Linked DNA regions of Oreochromis niloticus. The protein of the gene in region 1 purifies or fractionates together with the protein of each later gene. This does not show direct contact. Links are inferred from orthologs where the notes say so. Each region holds a gene or a part of one and is shown in the gene's direction. Other genes may lie near its edges.

Evidence for each region.
Region 2: the proteins of them4 (region 1) and akt1 purify together in Homo sapiens (co-immunoprecipitation; 4 studies listed by BioGRID and IntAct, with this or other methods). This does not show direct contact. The link is inferred for Oreochromis niloticus from reciprocal best matches to the Homo sapiens genes THEM4 and AKT1.

What each region holds. Positions count from the first base shown.
Region 1 is NC_031976.2:20,580,667-20,587,592, forward strand, and holds the start of them4 (acyl-coenzyme A thioesterase THEM4), read left to right. Parts: upstream 1-3,900; 5' UTR 3,901-4,248; coding exon 4,249-4,362; intron 4,363-6,600; coding exon 6,601-6,793; intron 6,794-6,926. Other genes in the region: uncharacterized protein si:dkey-87o1.2, read left to right, coding at 203-257, 656-773, 912-945. UniProt on the Homo sapiens protein: Has acyl-CoA thioesterase activity towards medium and long-chain (C14 to C18) fatty acyl-CoA substrates, and probably plays a role in mitochondrial fatty acid metabolism. Plays a role in the apoptotic process, possibly via its regulation of AKT1 activity.
Region 2 is NC_031983.2:8,882,679-8,890,440, reverse strand, and holds the start of akt1 (RAC-alpha serine/threonine-protein kinase), read left to right. Parts: upstream 1-4,723; 5' UTR 4,724-4,878; exon of another isoform or gene 4,879-5,154; intron 5,155-7,762. UniProt on the Homo sapiens protein: AKT1 is one of 3 closely related serine/threonine-protein kinases (AKT1, AKT2 and AKT3) called the AKT kinase, and which regulate many processes including metabolism, proliferation, cell survival, growth and angiogenesis.

The sequences.
Region 1 (6,926 bases):
CAGGCACACAAATGCACTTTGTCCGCAGGAGTTATTTCATTTGCATGCTCGTGCTGCAGTCTAAATATTAATTAAAAAAAAGGAAGAAAAGGATGATGTGAACAACTGTAATACATTTAAATATTTGCTTGATTGTCTCTATTTGAGCTTCATTCCGCAGTTAACCAGTGTAACTGCTGACTTCCTCTTTTTTTCTCATTAGGAGAAGGCGGAGAAGACGAAGGCTAGTACAACAGGGGAAATAGATCAACTCAAAGGTAAGCCATCTTTCTGTTTAAATTCTGCTCTGCTGATATCAGCTCTTGACTAACACATCCATAAATATGTTACACACACTACACAATGATATGGGTCAGATAGGAGAATAAGACAAACATTTCTGTGTCTGCATTTTTAAATGCACTGGGTGGGGTTTTCTTTTTCAGTTTTCTACACAAGAAGAAAAAGAACCGTTCCATTTTTACATTCCTTTATGGGAAACCTGTAAAACCAGCTGTAGCAACACTGAGCCACATGGCTCCATCTACAGGACTTGTAGATTTCAGTTACTGTACAATCCAAATATTTGCTTTCAACACAAAGCTACCTGTTTCTAATAATACATTTACACATTCTCAGTTTTGCTCTCATTTGTTATTATGTTTTATTGTCTCAGTTGATCACGAAGCAGCTAAAAGTAAAGCCCAGGAGAACATTCAGAGCTTGAAACAGCAGATTTCGGATAGAGATAAAGCTGTCTGTGCCTTTGTTGATACAACCAAGGAGGAAGGACGGTAAGATTTTAATCACCAGCATGCATCGTTAATAATAATGTGGATTACCGTAGATCACCGGGGGGCTACTGTAGAAGTCTATTTAACACGTCTCTACTGCAAAACTGAAAACTGTCTTTTGCTTTCTTGATTTTTCAGGAAGTTGTGTGGAATAACTCAAGAAACACAGTGAAGTCACTTCAGAACTGCACAACAATGACTAGCAACTTTTTCAGAAAAATATTTGTGCATCCAAGTTTTGTATCAGCACTAAGGTTATTATGGAATAGTAACAAAAAAAGAAAAGAAACTCTGCACATTGACTCAGAGAACAAGTATACGGACATGTGAAATAGAGAAATAGAATTCATTTCATATCATAAGAAGGAAAAAAGGTTGTATTTGTAATATATAATGTGGTGAACATCCCACAATAATTCTATGTGCTCAAAATTTTGCGCCTAATATGGTGATATAACAATATAAGTAAGCAATATAAGTAATAGAAATAACTCTTTGATTAGTTATAAGGAAAGATTATGGTTTGGTTAAAGTAACCCTCTTATCAACGTTTGCCACGTCTGTCTGAGTGTTCTGTGATAGTGTGTTTGAGCTGAAATAACCCCTGCAGAAGCTGTTTGACTGCTGTGGTTGGGTACCTGATGTCAAACACTGTGGTGTCTCCTTTTATCATATTTTTACTATTTTTTTTTATTTTTTATTATTCTTTTGAATGTAATAAAAAATAGAAAAAGTGCACTTATTATTGTAACAATGTACAACATTTTCATTGTAGCTCCAGCAGTAATGAAAAAGCGACCTGGCAGTTATTTTGCACTGGTTTTATGATGTGGAAATAATATTTTTGCTAAAAAGTTCCAGTTATTTCTTCTAGTGACACAAACCAGATCTAGTTTTAAAAAAAGGACACACAGACCCAGATTTTATTCAGTTTCTGTTTGGTTTTTATGAATTTGATGTACTATTTATGCTTCTGGGCCATAAACAGCAGACCTTTAAGGAGTCTAGAAAATAGATGCAATGTGTGTAAAAGTGTAAAAACATTATATACATCATTTAATGCTACTTTGAATATAAAGAAAGCCAAAATGATAAAACCTTTTAGATTTAAGAGGCAAAACCTAAATTATCACGTCTGTTCAAATAAATGGTCCTTCAACTCCCCCTAGTGCAGAACCTAGGGTTAAGACAGACTATGTTACTGACATTGTGCCTTTGCTGATACAACTAAGGAGGAAGCACTTTCTTACAGGGGATCACTTTTGGAGGAAACTATTACAAGAATAACTTGAGTACGCTGAACTTGTTACAAAACGTCTTGTATGAAATTAGATCACCAAAAACATTGTGGGTTTATTGAGTGCTGTATGGATGTACAATGACTAAATAAAGTGTTTTGTGTTCCTAAAGTTCCTATAAATTAACAAGTGTAACCTTAGTTATTATTGCTCATTTTATTTTTTACCTTTACAACTGATTGCACCTTTTTCAACATTGCACTCACACAGTTCCCTTTACCACCTTCAGCTAATCTGCAGGCAAGATGCCTTTCTTCAACCTTGTGCTTACATGATAGCCTTGTATTGAAAATAACCGGTATTTTTAAAGGCTATATCAACACTGAATCACTTATAAACATATGATAATCATAAATTATTATAAATAATGCATAAATAGTGTAAATGTTTTGTTTTGCTGTTGTTGTTGTTTTGCAAGTTGTTACAGAAATACTTGCTACCTCTCCTTCAACCTCCACCCACTTCTAAACTTAAAATTTTTTATTGCTCAACTCAAAACATTCAGGCATGTAGACGTTTAAATGACCTGCTCAAGTTGGAACCGAGCACCAGAATGGAGAAGGAAAGTGATTTAAATGACTCTGAAGGTGGCATGGTTGCTGGTCCCAGACAGGCTGGTGTGAGTATTTCAGAAGCTGCTGATCTGGTGGGATTTCCCCACACAAGCCATTTTTAGTGTTTACTGAGAATGGTATTAAAAAGAGAAAAGAATAGCCCTTTATTGTCACTGTACACATACATCGAAATATCAAGCAAGCAGCAGTTTTCTGAGTGAAAATGTCTTGTTTATGCCAGAGGTCAGAGAAAAATGACGAGGCTGCTTGACCATACTGGGCTTCACAACCCTCAGCTAAGAACAGGATGCTGAGTCTACAATTTGAACCAAAAATAGAACAATAAAAGACTGGGTAAATGGTGCTTGGTGTGATGAGTCTTGATGTCTGCAGTAGCATTTAAATGCTGTGGTCAGAATTTGATGTTAAGTACATGAAAGTTAGGATCAATGAAAGCATGGATCCAAACTGCCTTGTATCAAGGCTTCAGACTGGCACTTGTGGTGAAATGTTTTTTGGGATATTTTCTTGCCACATTTTGGGTGCCTTAATAGCAAGTGAGCACAGTCTACCTGAGTATTGTTGTCGATTATGTCCATCTCTTTGTGACTAAAGTGTACCCATCTTCTGAAGGCTGCTTCCAGCAGCATAATGCACTATGCCACACAGTTTAAGTCATCTTTGTACTCAAATGGCCTCCACAGACAGCAGAGATCAATCCAATAGAGCATCGTTGGAATGTGGTGGAACAGTAACAGTTGCAGAAAGTAAACTATTATCTATTATCTTGTCTCTAGATAGAGACAGGAGATTTATATTTGCACATTACATTTTAAAATTATGTTGCATTAATTAAGTTAACAATATATAATAAAAACTTTATATGTGCTATACCACAAAAAAGTTCCAAATATTGCAATATGCTTAAGTAAAGAAAATTATATTTTTAATAAAATAAATAATAGGTACATTAATCTCTAAGTTTTATGAGTAAAAATAACTACAGAAAAATAGTCGATTCTGTTAATTTTGTTATTTTTGTTATTGTCTAAGCCCCATATGACCTAATTGAGTCTCTCTTTTTTAGTTTCTTCTCAAACTATTTATTTGTTTCCAATAAATGTGTAAACTTTTTTTTAACTGAATCACAACTATTAAAAATCTGCCGTGTCTCGGTAAAGTTAGAAAAAAAAGAAAAGAGAAGAATAATGGTGGTTACCAAGGGAACAGAAAAAAAAGTTCTATTTGACAGCCAATTATATTGGAATCTGTATGGCACGTGACTCTACCCAACCGACGCAACGGCAGAACTCCCTCACGCCGGAAGTTTACAGCCTGATCTTGACACATGAAAGTCACCGGTAAAATACTAGCAGTGACACTCGTGATAGGACGTACTCCTATTCTGTGAGACAGCGGAACATAAACACGGGTCAAAGATGGTTAAGTCACTTTTATTTTTAAAGCAGACCAGTGTTTACTGCAGCGACCGTAGTCTGTTAGGACGCTAACAGACGACAGACAGCTAACTCTCAACGATCCGTTACAGCATAATTTATCTACCTCAGGTTATAGAAGTCGGTTTCTGCCCAGCTTTCCAATCATCGCGGGGACAGTTTACAGATGGCAAGGAGTCTGGGTCGAATATTCAGGGGCTTTCAGAGCCTCGGTTCTCTCGCATTCATGAAGTCTGAACTCAGCAATCCCCCTGCCAGCGTTTCATTGAAGAGCATGGTGGTAGGTAGACATGTGAGCCGTATTTTATGAAAGACTTTTTCATGGTGCATGTGAGTTGTTTGCCGTGTTATGTTCTTCTCCCTCCTGCCAGATGTTTCTCTAGTGTTGTGACTGTACTATCCCACAGCTAAATAAAGTAAAAGCACATCACAGCTTAAAAAACACGTGGCCAGCGTGAGAGTTTGTCAGCTTGTTGGAAATAACAAACAAACCAAAAACATGTAAGATGACTATAACGTAGTGATTACAACTTAAAATAGCAGGCCATGTTTCTACAACACGACCACAGAGGTCAACATCATCACAGATAACATAAGAAACACTTTATCCAAGGGTTGGAAAATTATTTTGTTAACCCAATTAAAAATGAAGTTCATCATGACAAACATGTAAACAGTAACAAATAATAGTGTTATAGAAAAATATAATAACGTACAATCGTGTGAAGAAGAAAGTTTTCTGTACTTCTTCTTGTTAAAAACTACTATTAAAAACTACATCATTACATAGGAATTAGGTATTCGAGTTTATATGAGTTAGAATTTATAAGATCATAATAACCTCCACACTTACATCAAGAAAATCGTCCTGTTCTAACTCTTTACTCTTTGTACTCTTTACTCTAGTCGGCAATAAGGTCATTTACAATAGCAGAATGTCTCTCTCTGTATGCATACAAGTGTACATATACACCTCAAACGCACAGGCATACAAAACAGAATTAGGAGGGTAAGTATTAGTCAACTTCTCCTCATGGAAGACAACAGATTTATTAGATTTATTAATTACCAGCAATTGCTAAGATCTCTATAAAGGCAGACGTTTTGGCATTTTGCTGGTGTGGAGTATTCAGCCTTCCCAGGAGTTGACGTCACAACAAATTCTCCCCAGTGTCAGATCATGCATTGCTTATAAATTGCAACATCTCAGACTCTACAAGCTTCAGTTATCATGATAAATATTAAAGTTCATAACAGTGTGATTAGAAAAAGACAAATAGGTTTTGTTTGGAAGGGCTGCCGAGCGAATGTTTCTTCCCTATGAAAAGAGTTTGGCTGCACGACTCAGGTTAGCAAAGTAACACTTGAACAAACATATCAGGAAAAATGTCCCTTTGACAGATGAGACCAAAGTGGAGGTGTTTGGTAAAAATGAAACAAATCAAATGAACACAAACACCTCAAACCCACAGTGGTGGAGCGGTGATGATTTGGGCTTGTTTTTTAGCCACAGGAGCCGGGTACCTTGCCTAAGTATTAACAATTCAAATGCGAGGACATTTGTCTGACAGCAAAAGTAGAGCAGACATTGAGTCATGCAACAGGACAATGATTTCAAACACAGAAACAATAAATCTACAACAGAATGGCTGAAAAAGAAAAGAATCAAGGTGCTGCATTGGCTCGCTCAAAGTTCAGACCTAAACCCAACTGAAATGCTGTGGTGGGACCTTAAGAGAGCTGCGCATGAATAAACATGAATGAACAAGAATGAGCTGAAATTCCTCCACGATGATGTGAGAGTCTGATAAAGTCAAGCAGAAAAGAAGTAGTTCAAGTTATTCCTGCTAAAGGTGGTTCTACAACATGCTGAATTTTTGTCAGGGTTTCTGGGTCGTTGACCCAGTATTTTCAGTTCACGTTCACCGTTTCTCTACTGCCGGTTCCACTTCCTGTTTTATTGTGTTAACCTTGGTCTGTGTTCATTATGTTCAGCCCTCTTCCCATTTATCAGTAGTTCTTTATGTTCAGCTGTTCACTCACCTGTCACCTATAAGTCATTATTCAGCCAGCATATTTAAGTCCTCAGTTCTCTCCTGGTCTTTGTCGTGTCATTGATGTTATGTTGTTGTTCCCGTTAGTTCTCAGTTATTCAGTCAGCCAGTCACTCCTACCGTTCCTGCTTTGTTCGTTCACCTGCTCCCAATAAACCCTCATCACTTCTGCACCGTGAGTCCAGCGTTTGGGTCATCTCTTCCACGCCTCCACACACAAGACCTGACAATTTTTCACAGAGTCCAATGCAAACTTTCTTTTTCATATGACTGCAAATATGACAAAACTAATGTAGCTAAATTAATACTTTTCGCTCATTTTGGAAAATGTTTTCATGACCCCTGTTGACTTAATAGAACCACAAATATTAAAGCAGTAGTCATATGGTATCTATATGAGACATCCACACTTTGTCATTACGCTTTTAATACTAACAGACATTATATTTTATTTCTCTGTTTAGCAAACGCTTCCATCGGTCTTTTCATCCAACCCCCGGGACTTCAGCCTTCCTAACCCCTCATGGGGCACAGAAATGAGGCAGCTGTATGAACATTATAACAGCCAATGTGAGGCGGTGACAGACGGAGGAGAGGAACAGAGTGGACTGTGGAAGAGACTGCCAAGCTACAATCGTTCTCTGAAGTACGCTGCAGGTAAATATACAGACCAAAAAGTTTATCTGAAATAAGAACAAGAGAATTTCTCAATAGCTCCAAAATTACTATGTTAAACAATCCAAAACATGATAACAACTTAGCTTTTTAGTAAAAAGAAAAAACGGTACAC
Region 2 (7,762 bases), on another chromosome or scaffold:
TGGATGATTTCTCGTTTGTAGCTGAACACCCGACAAACTAAATGTTTAGTCAGATGTGTGGCACATACAAAAAACAATTTACCATTCAAGCACTGATGCTTACACAAACACTCCATCCAAGCAGGAGCAGTGATGTGGATAAGAATAGGAGCAGTGGCCCTGTGTTTCCCTGGCCCTGGCAAACGTAGGCGCCCAGTAGAGGAGGGGTGTGTGTGTGTTCACAGGGCAAGACAAAGCAGTGGTTGTGCCTGGGGACTGTGGCCTCAGCAGAGAGAGGCTCGGCACGGTGAAGGTTCTCACACACAGAAAAAAAAAAGATAGGGAAAGAGAGACAGAGAGAATGAGAGCGGGGGAGTCGGGAGAGAGAGAGAGAGAGAGAACACTTCCTGGAGGTTCATTCTTCTTCTCTGCAATCATCAATGGCATTCTCTCCCTGACCCACTCCTCTCTCAGACAAACAAAAGACCCCGCATTCCAGTGTAGCCTGACTGGCCAACCAGCCAGAGTTGAACCACATCACTCTCCCTGCTGGACCAGAGTCTGATCATAGTTGTGGGTTTAAGCTGTGCTGGTGGTGTCTGTTTGAGGGTGTTTATAATGCATCTCCATGCATAAGGGCAGTAAAGTTTATGTTCTTTTGAAATGGTTTTAATATTGGGGAGAGTGATGTTATTTCACTCTCACTGGCCATGCAGATTTAATCAAATTACCTTTTTTTAAACAGGTGCATCTTTTATGTAACTGGCAGAGAATTCAAAACAAAGCTTTGCAAAACCTTTTAACCCTGTTTTTAATTAATAATAGCACAACAGCAACAAATTCAAAAGGCTGCGATGTTATGGTTTTCTTTTGTTTATTTGAAACATATATGCTTATGTCTTTAAAAAAAGTGGGATAAGAGGATGTTTGCCACTGTGGTGTTGTGAAACCAGAGAGATCAATTACTGCAGTTTTGTAAGCCAAATGTATTTCTGGGCTTGTTTGATATAAGATTTCAGCTCTTTAGCCATTCGGGGCCTTCTGCTTTGTCATTTTAGTTCTGTAATTTTCCACATTTCCAGTTTCGGAGTAAAGTCGGATTGGTTTAACACCTGGATTCTTTTACTGTAGGGCCCCGCTGCTATAATATGTCCAGTAAGTGGTCTAGTGTCATCCTCCTGAAAAATACATGAGTGGTAGCACATGTTCTAAAACCCTGCATATATATTCATTCAGAATTAATGGTGATTTTAAAGATGTGAAATTTACCCGTACCCTCTGCATCCTGTGCACAAATTCACTTCCTCAGTATCACAGATGCTGGCTACTGAACTGTTTGCAGATCATCTGGATGGACTCTCTCTCAGCTGGGAGGACACGTCTTCCATTATTTCTGAAAGGAATTAAAACTTTTTAACCACAGTACAGTAATTTGGTTTTTTACTTCAACTCAGTCCATAATAAAGGGGTTCAGACCCAGAGAAGTCAGTAGCATTTTCCATGTTGTTCATAAGTGTTTTTTTCCTTTGCCTTTCAGAGTTTAACTTGGAATAAACTTAACTTTTTGAATAAAACAATAAATGTATGTCTGTTCGCTTAATAGTTTTCAAAAGTGTTCCTTTTGAATTTTTACTTCAGATTTTCACTTCAGAATTGTGTTTGTTTCCAATGCAGTGAGTGTTAGTCTTTGGCCTAGTCCTTTGCATACAAAGAGTTCCCTGCGATGTCTACCTCTTTTAATAATATTGCATACCAAAGAAAATTCTCAAGTTCATGAGTTGCAAAATTTAATTCAATTCAGTTTTATTTATATAGCACCAAATCACAACAACAGTCGCCTCAAGGCACTTTATATCGTAATGTAAACCTCCTACAATAATAAAGAAAAAACCCATCAACAATCAGACAACCCTCTATGAGCAAGCACTTGGCGACAGTGGGAAGGAAAAACTCCCTTTTAACAGGAAGAGACATCTAGCAGAAACAGTCAAGGTAGCAATCCTTAAAATTTTCAACTATTTTCCCATGCAGTCCTTCACAGATGTTTCACTCTCTAGGAGGCCAATTTTACAACAATATTTTATATTATTTGCCTGTTGCCAGTCAACCTAACTGTAGCTGTAAGATGAGCCACCAGATGTTTTAGGGGTTTTCTATTGTTGTCCCTAACTTTTTTGGAAATAGGATGCTGGAATCACGTTAAAAACAGTTGCCAGCTTTTAGAACCAATGCTTTAATAACTGATAATCAGTTGTTTGTGTGTATCTTCTAGGAGTGATTTATCACAACAGCTGCACTGGTTAAATAAAATAAGTGTCCCTATATCACTCACATACTTTTAGTATCTCTTATACTGTTCTGTACTGATCCTGCTGTTTTACACGCAATTTATACAACAATAGTTGTGTGATTCTTTTGCTTTGTTTTTTTTAAATATTACATTCATCTAATAGTGTAATAGTTTAAGCAAAATTGCTTTGTAGTTGACTGGAGATGCTGTTTTGGTCAGCTTCCCCACCGCCCCACGTATCCATTCACCCAACACCTCCTCCATATTATGGCCCTCCTGCCCTTCTGTGTCTAATTGTTGTTACCGCGTGTTATCTATTCTCCTTTAACGGGCCATTAAGTTCTGTCTGTACTGTTTGTTGTACTCTAGACAGATACTGCAAGTAGACAGGGATCAGAGATCAGATGAGCCTTTGATGGGAGAGATGCTATTAACTCACTTTGACTTTTTAATCTTGTTACTGTTACGTTTGATCCCGCAAAACAACAGAGCGGGCATTCCCATCAACAGGCCAAAGAGAGTGGGTGGAGGAGGAGGAGGAGAGCACCAATGAATAGCAACTGGAGAAAATATGGGATACCCTAAGTCAGCTTTGCCTGTATGACAGGAACAGCTTGGCGAGGCTGACACATGGTAGCAGTGAGAAACACATTACAGCGTGAGTGACAAAGAGGGGAAATGACAGCAGAGGAGGCTGAGAGACAAAGGGCACAAGCCAATGAATTTTTCATCACAAGAGGAAACATTGGCAGCTTTCCCCTGCTATCCTGTTCTTTTAATATTATTAAGTCATTATTGCGGGAATTGTCACATGCACTGTCTTGCTTTTATAAGTGATACATATATTTTACTGCACTTCTAATGCTGATTCAACTTTGAGGCAGTCAACTACACCATGCTTGGAGATAGAAAAATAATGGAGGGGTAAGACGTAATGGACGTGAAGAGGGTCGTGAGTATCACAGTGTAAAGCAAGATAATGGAAATGTTAAAATGGGAGGTCTCTAAAATGTTTTAGACTTCTAGTTAGAAACATTTTGATCAAGTATACCCAGTCATCTGAGGGCGTCATTTGATACATAGGCTCCCTGACTTCTTTTAAGCAGACTGAGCTGGCCTGTCTGTACCTGTCCAAAACTGGTTTAACTCCTACCTCTCCAGTGGAGTTCTCTGTAGCTGTAGATGACGGTTTATCTAACACAACAGGTAAAAGTGTGGCATGTAATCATGAACAACCCTCAAGATTTTTACCTTCTCGTTCAGCTGTTTCATCTGGTATATGCAGTTAATTTAAGAGAGTATCTGCATGAATACAAAAAGATCAGTGGCAAGGGCTAAATCAGACTAAATACACTTCTGCAAACACATTCTTGTGTTCAGCACATCTGCTTTACCCATTTTGAGGTATTTTGTTTTAAGTGTGTCAGACTGAGACATTCTCACACTTCATGTTTAGTTGGCATTTCCTGGAAATGTCAGAGGCCCTTCCACAGCAACTTGAAGAGAAAGCGTGTACCAGTGCTTTTTGGTACTGGCAGATGTGACTGGAACCAGGTGATCGAATGTGTAAAAGTCCACCACCGAGCCTGATGCTTTAGCGCTGACGTGCAACAGAATGGAAGCAGCAGCACATCCTGCTTATGGTTTCTTCTTTAGTAGTGATTTTAATATAATTTTACTAGATTACACAAGGCTACACATGTGTCTGAAAGAACCATATCTGAAACTAGAGCTAGAGCTTCACCTTTTAGAAGCACAGCTCTTTACACAGTTTTAAGGTGCATAACCTTTTGTTTTCGTGGTTTTGATTGGTTGGTTGACCTTATTTTGGATAAAGCTTTATTTACTTTGACCTAATTTCACTTATTATAACTGTATTTCCATGTTAACAAGTTTACCCATCAAATACAACTTGCTTGAAACAAAGACACGGTGACAAACTTGTACTTTTCTTTCAGATACAGCTGCAGCTTAACTTGTTTAAAACCCTAGAAGGAGTTTTGTGAACATAAAATATTTTATTGTAATATAATTTTAAAAGTTATTAAATAACAGGGCAGATGTGAAATGACAAAATGATAATAACATACTAAATGAACCAGTTTAGCTCTAAAAAACGTTTTTCTTAGTCTTTTCTTATAGCAAACTTTGCAAGACTGTAATTTTGAACTTTTGTAAGGCACTAATATACAACATCTGGACTAACTGGGAATATCTGTGTATATTTTGTGACCAAAAAACATGTAATCAAAAAGACAAAAAAAAAGTAATACATAATTACAGATGATTGATGACTAGAAGCACCTTTTGCAACCCTAATATAGCTCATCGCAGAGCAGGTAGAGCAGGTACCAAAATGTAATTCTCATCTTGTAGCCTGCATTACCCTTGTGGTTGTTCCAGGAAGTCAAAAAAACCCACCTAAGTACACTTAATTGAAGCGAGGATCCCTTGAAAAACATACAAGGTCCTCGGCAGGTCCCCGAAACCCATTTTGGAAACCACCGGCACAGATAAAAGAGCAGAGAGTTCAACAAGGCCATGCAGAAGAAGCACCACTGCAGTTTTTTTTTCTTCAATGGGACGCCTGACAGCCTACTACTCCTTCTGTGAGTGTGACTCATTTAAGGGCGGCTTTAGGACCCGGGAGAGACGGCTGCCACAGAGGCATTGCAGACAGCGCGTTTGGGAGGTGTAGTGGAAGAAAGGCAAGAGAAACGGAGTAAATGAGAGCACTTTGTCCAGATTGTTGAAGGACCCGTCAACTTAAAACACCGCCGAAACAGCTCACTATAATGAGACGGACACATTGTTGAATTCCTGTCCAGGTAAATGTCCGCGTTTCCTTCGCATGGTTAACTACAAGAGTTCGACAGCTAGACAGGGTAGGTCCCCATTGTACTTACATGGGATGCGGTTATTCTCACCCAAGCTGCCCTGCTAGGCCCCATATCCTTTCTAACGCTAGATGCAAACCTGAAATGAGGTACTTTCCTGACTTCACTTCGCCGTAAAAAGTTGTCTCATGACGAAAAAAGTCGACGGCTCATTAATTTCCTGTAGTGAATTCTTAACGCTCGGTGTTTTTCCACAAACAGCAGTGAGTCTCTTTAAGATGTTAACCATTCATTTTTTTTTTTTTTTTGACAATGACCACTTTTGAGACACAACCCTCGGGCCAAAATATCTGCAGTCAAGTCGCTTGAAACGGTTCTCCTCTTTGCGGGAAAAAAGTTGGGTTTTTTGGCGTTGTGCTTTATGGTCCTGGAGGGAAATGAAAACAAATGAGCTCAACAAGAGAGAGCAGCTCATTCATTGTTGTGAACTACCACCGCGTTTGTTTACTTGTTTGAGTGAGGCATTTATTGCCATCTTATCTTTAGCCATTAGCTTTGCTGCCTGCCTGCCGAGAAGCTGCTGTGGCCACAAACAGTGCTGCTTTACAAAAAAGAAAAAGTTATGCGTCTATGTTGTGACTTGTTGCCACGCGTTTACTTTTTGGTCCACAATTTAGACACAGACGTCATAAGAAAAAGTCCCAACAGTGTAATTTAACGCCCCCCCCCCGTAATCAGTACAACGGCATAATGCCTGTGGATAAGTGTGTTTTGATAGTTTTCACTGGCCTCACTGCTAGCATCCCACCTACAGTAATGACAGTTGTGTAGGTCTGCACTCAATAGTTTTTTGTCTTAAAGGTTTATTATTATAGTATTCTTATCAAGTTTGAGAGATATCAAGTGATCAAGGGCATAGAAATCTGATGGGCTTTCAAATTTCAAAAGGATTCTTGCAGGATACAAGGCTTGCAATCATGTTTAAAACTTATTTTACTAATAATACTGTCTGTCTCCTTCTCCCAGGGTGCATGCATGTACTAAAAAGAGAACATTGTCCCCGGGTGTGTTGTACCCACCATGCCTTCAGTGTCAAAAAAAAAAAATGTTTTTATCAGTCATGAGACTACGTCTGTCCACTGTGTGTGTACGCAAGGGGATTTGGCATGTGACCTGGGGAAGACGCAACAAGCTGGCGCAATGATGCAGCCAGTGACTGCTTGGCTCTCGCTGTTCTGTTTAGAAAAAAAACACCCACCTCCCACCCAATCCCCTCGCAGCAGCTCGGTTGACGCAAATCTGCCACCAGTTGCATGCAGAATCTGAGGAATGTTGTTTGAAATTTTGTCCAAAACAGACAAACAGGGGCCTGGATGCATCACCAGAGTCTGGATGTACTGAGACTGAGAAAGAGGTGGTTCTCGTACCGGTGTCCCGGACGTCACTCTTCTCCATCTGTGTCACAAAAACTGAAAACAAAATACTTTTGTTTTCCTTTTGCTTTTCTGTGTTAACTTTCCAGCCATTGTAAAATGATTCTCATGAGGTGTGATGTGTGTGTGGGGGGGTGGTGGTGATTTGAATAAATTAAGCTTTGTGTTGCTTTTACAGCTTGTCTGAACAGCCTGAATATGATTACATTAACATGAGTCATAAAGTGGTTGGTGTTCGTGTCATCGTAGGATTAAAGCGGCGAGTCTGCTTGCCTTTCAAGGTTGCAGTCACTGCGGTTTTGTGTTCAGTTAAAGCTGCCCGCAATATTCTTATCAATAATGGTGTGCTTTCAGGGAACTTGAAAGAGGAACTTGGTAGCGTAGTAGATCACCGTAATACTGGCTCCACTGTGGTATTTGAGCTCAAACTAAAGTGTTGCTTTGGTGACTTGTTTTTCAGCAACAGGTTAGCGTGATGTCATTTCTTGTGTTTTTAAATACTTTCAGTGTAATGTTTTACTTTTGGAACCAGAAACCATGTGGTAGTTTTTCTGTTAACCGAGCAGAAACTGAAGCAAAAAATGGTATCTATTAATCTGTGATGAAGGAAGTAGCGTGGTGATGTCGACCTGATTTTTTTTTTTTTTTTTTTTCTTCTCCCCTGCTTCCTGCTATAAACACATGGGACTATCCTCTCTGGCCCAGTGACAAGCTCAGTGTGTGGCAACTTTTGCTGCATGACACTGATTTGCATTGAATGGGGTGGCCCCCGGCGTTGGAGCCAGAAAGATGAATGATTGAAAGCCGCCCTGACATCAGGGCAGGCAGGCAGGCGGTGGCCCAGAGGCCTGAGGACCATGTGACCCGCTGTCAGGGTACTGGGTTCATTCAGTGGCTGCTGGCTGCAGCGCTGGCAGCGGCCCAGCTTTTTCCACACAGGCCGCAGTAGCAACAGGTCGCTCCCATTAAAACAGCAGCGCTCTGTTGTGGCTCCAGAGCCGGTCTTGTGCATGTGTTGCTTTTTTGGCTGCGGCGTGTGTGCGCTCAAGTTTGTTTGTGAGGTGTATCCCAATGTGTATATAATGTGTGCGTGCCTGTGTCACAGAGTCCACACTAAGATGCCGATGGGATCCAACGGTTTTTGTGATCCTTACTTTGAATTGCACTCTGTGTGCTTCCCTTTTTTTTTTTTTTTTTTTTTTTTTTTTTTTTTCCTTCTCAAA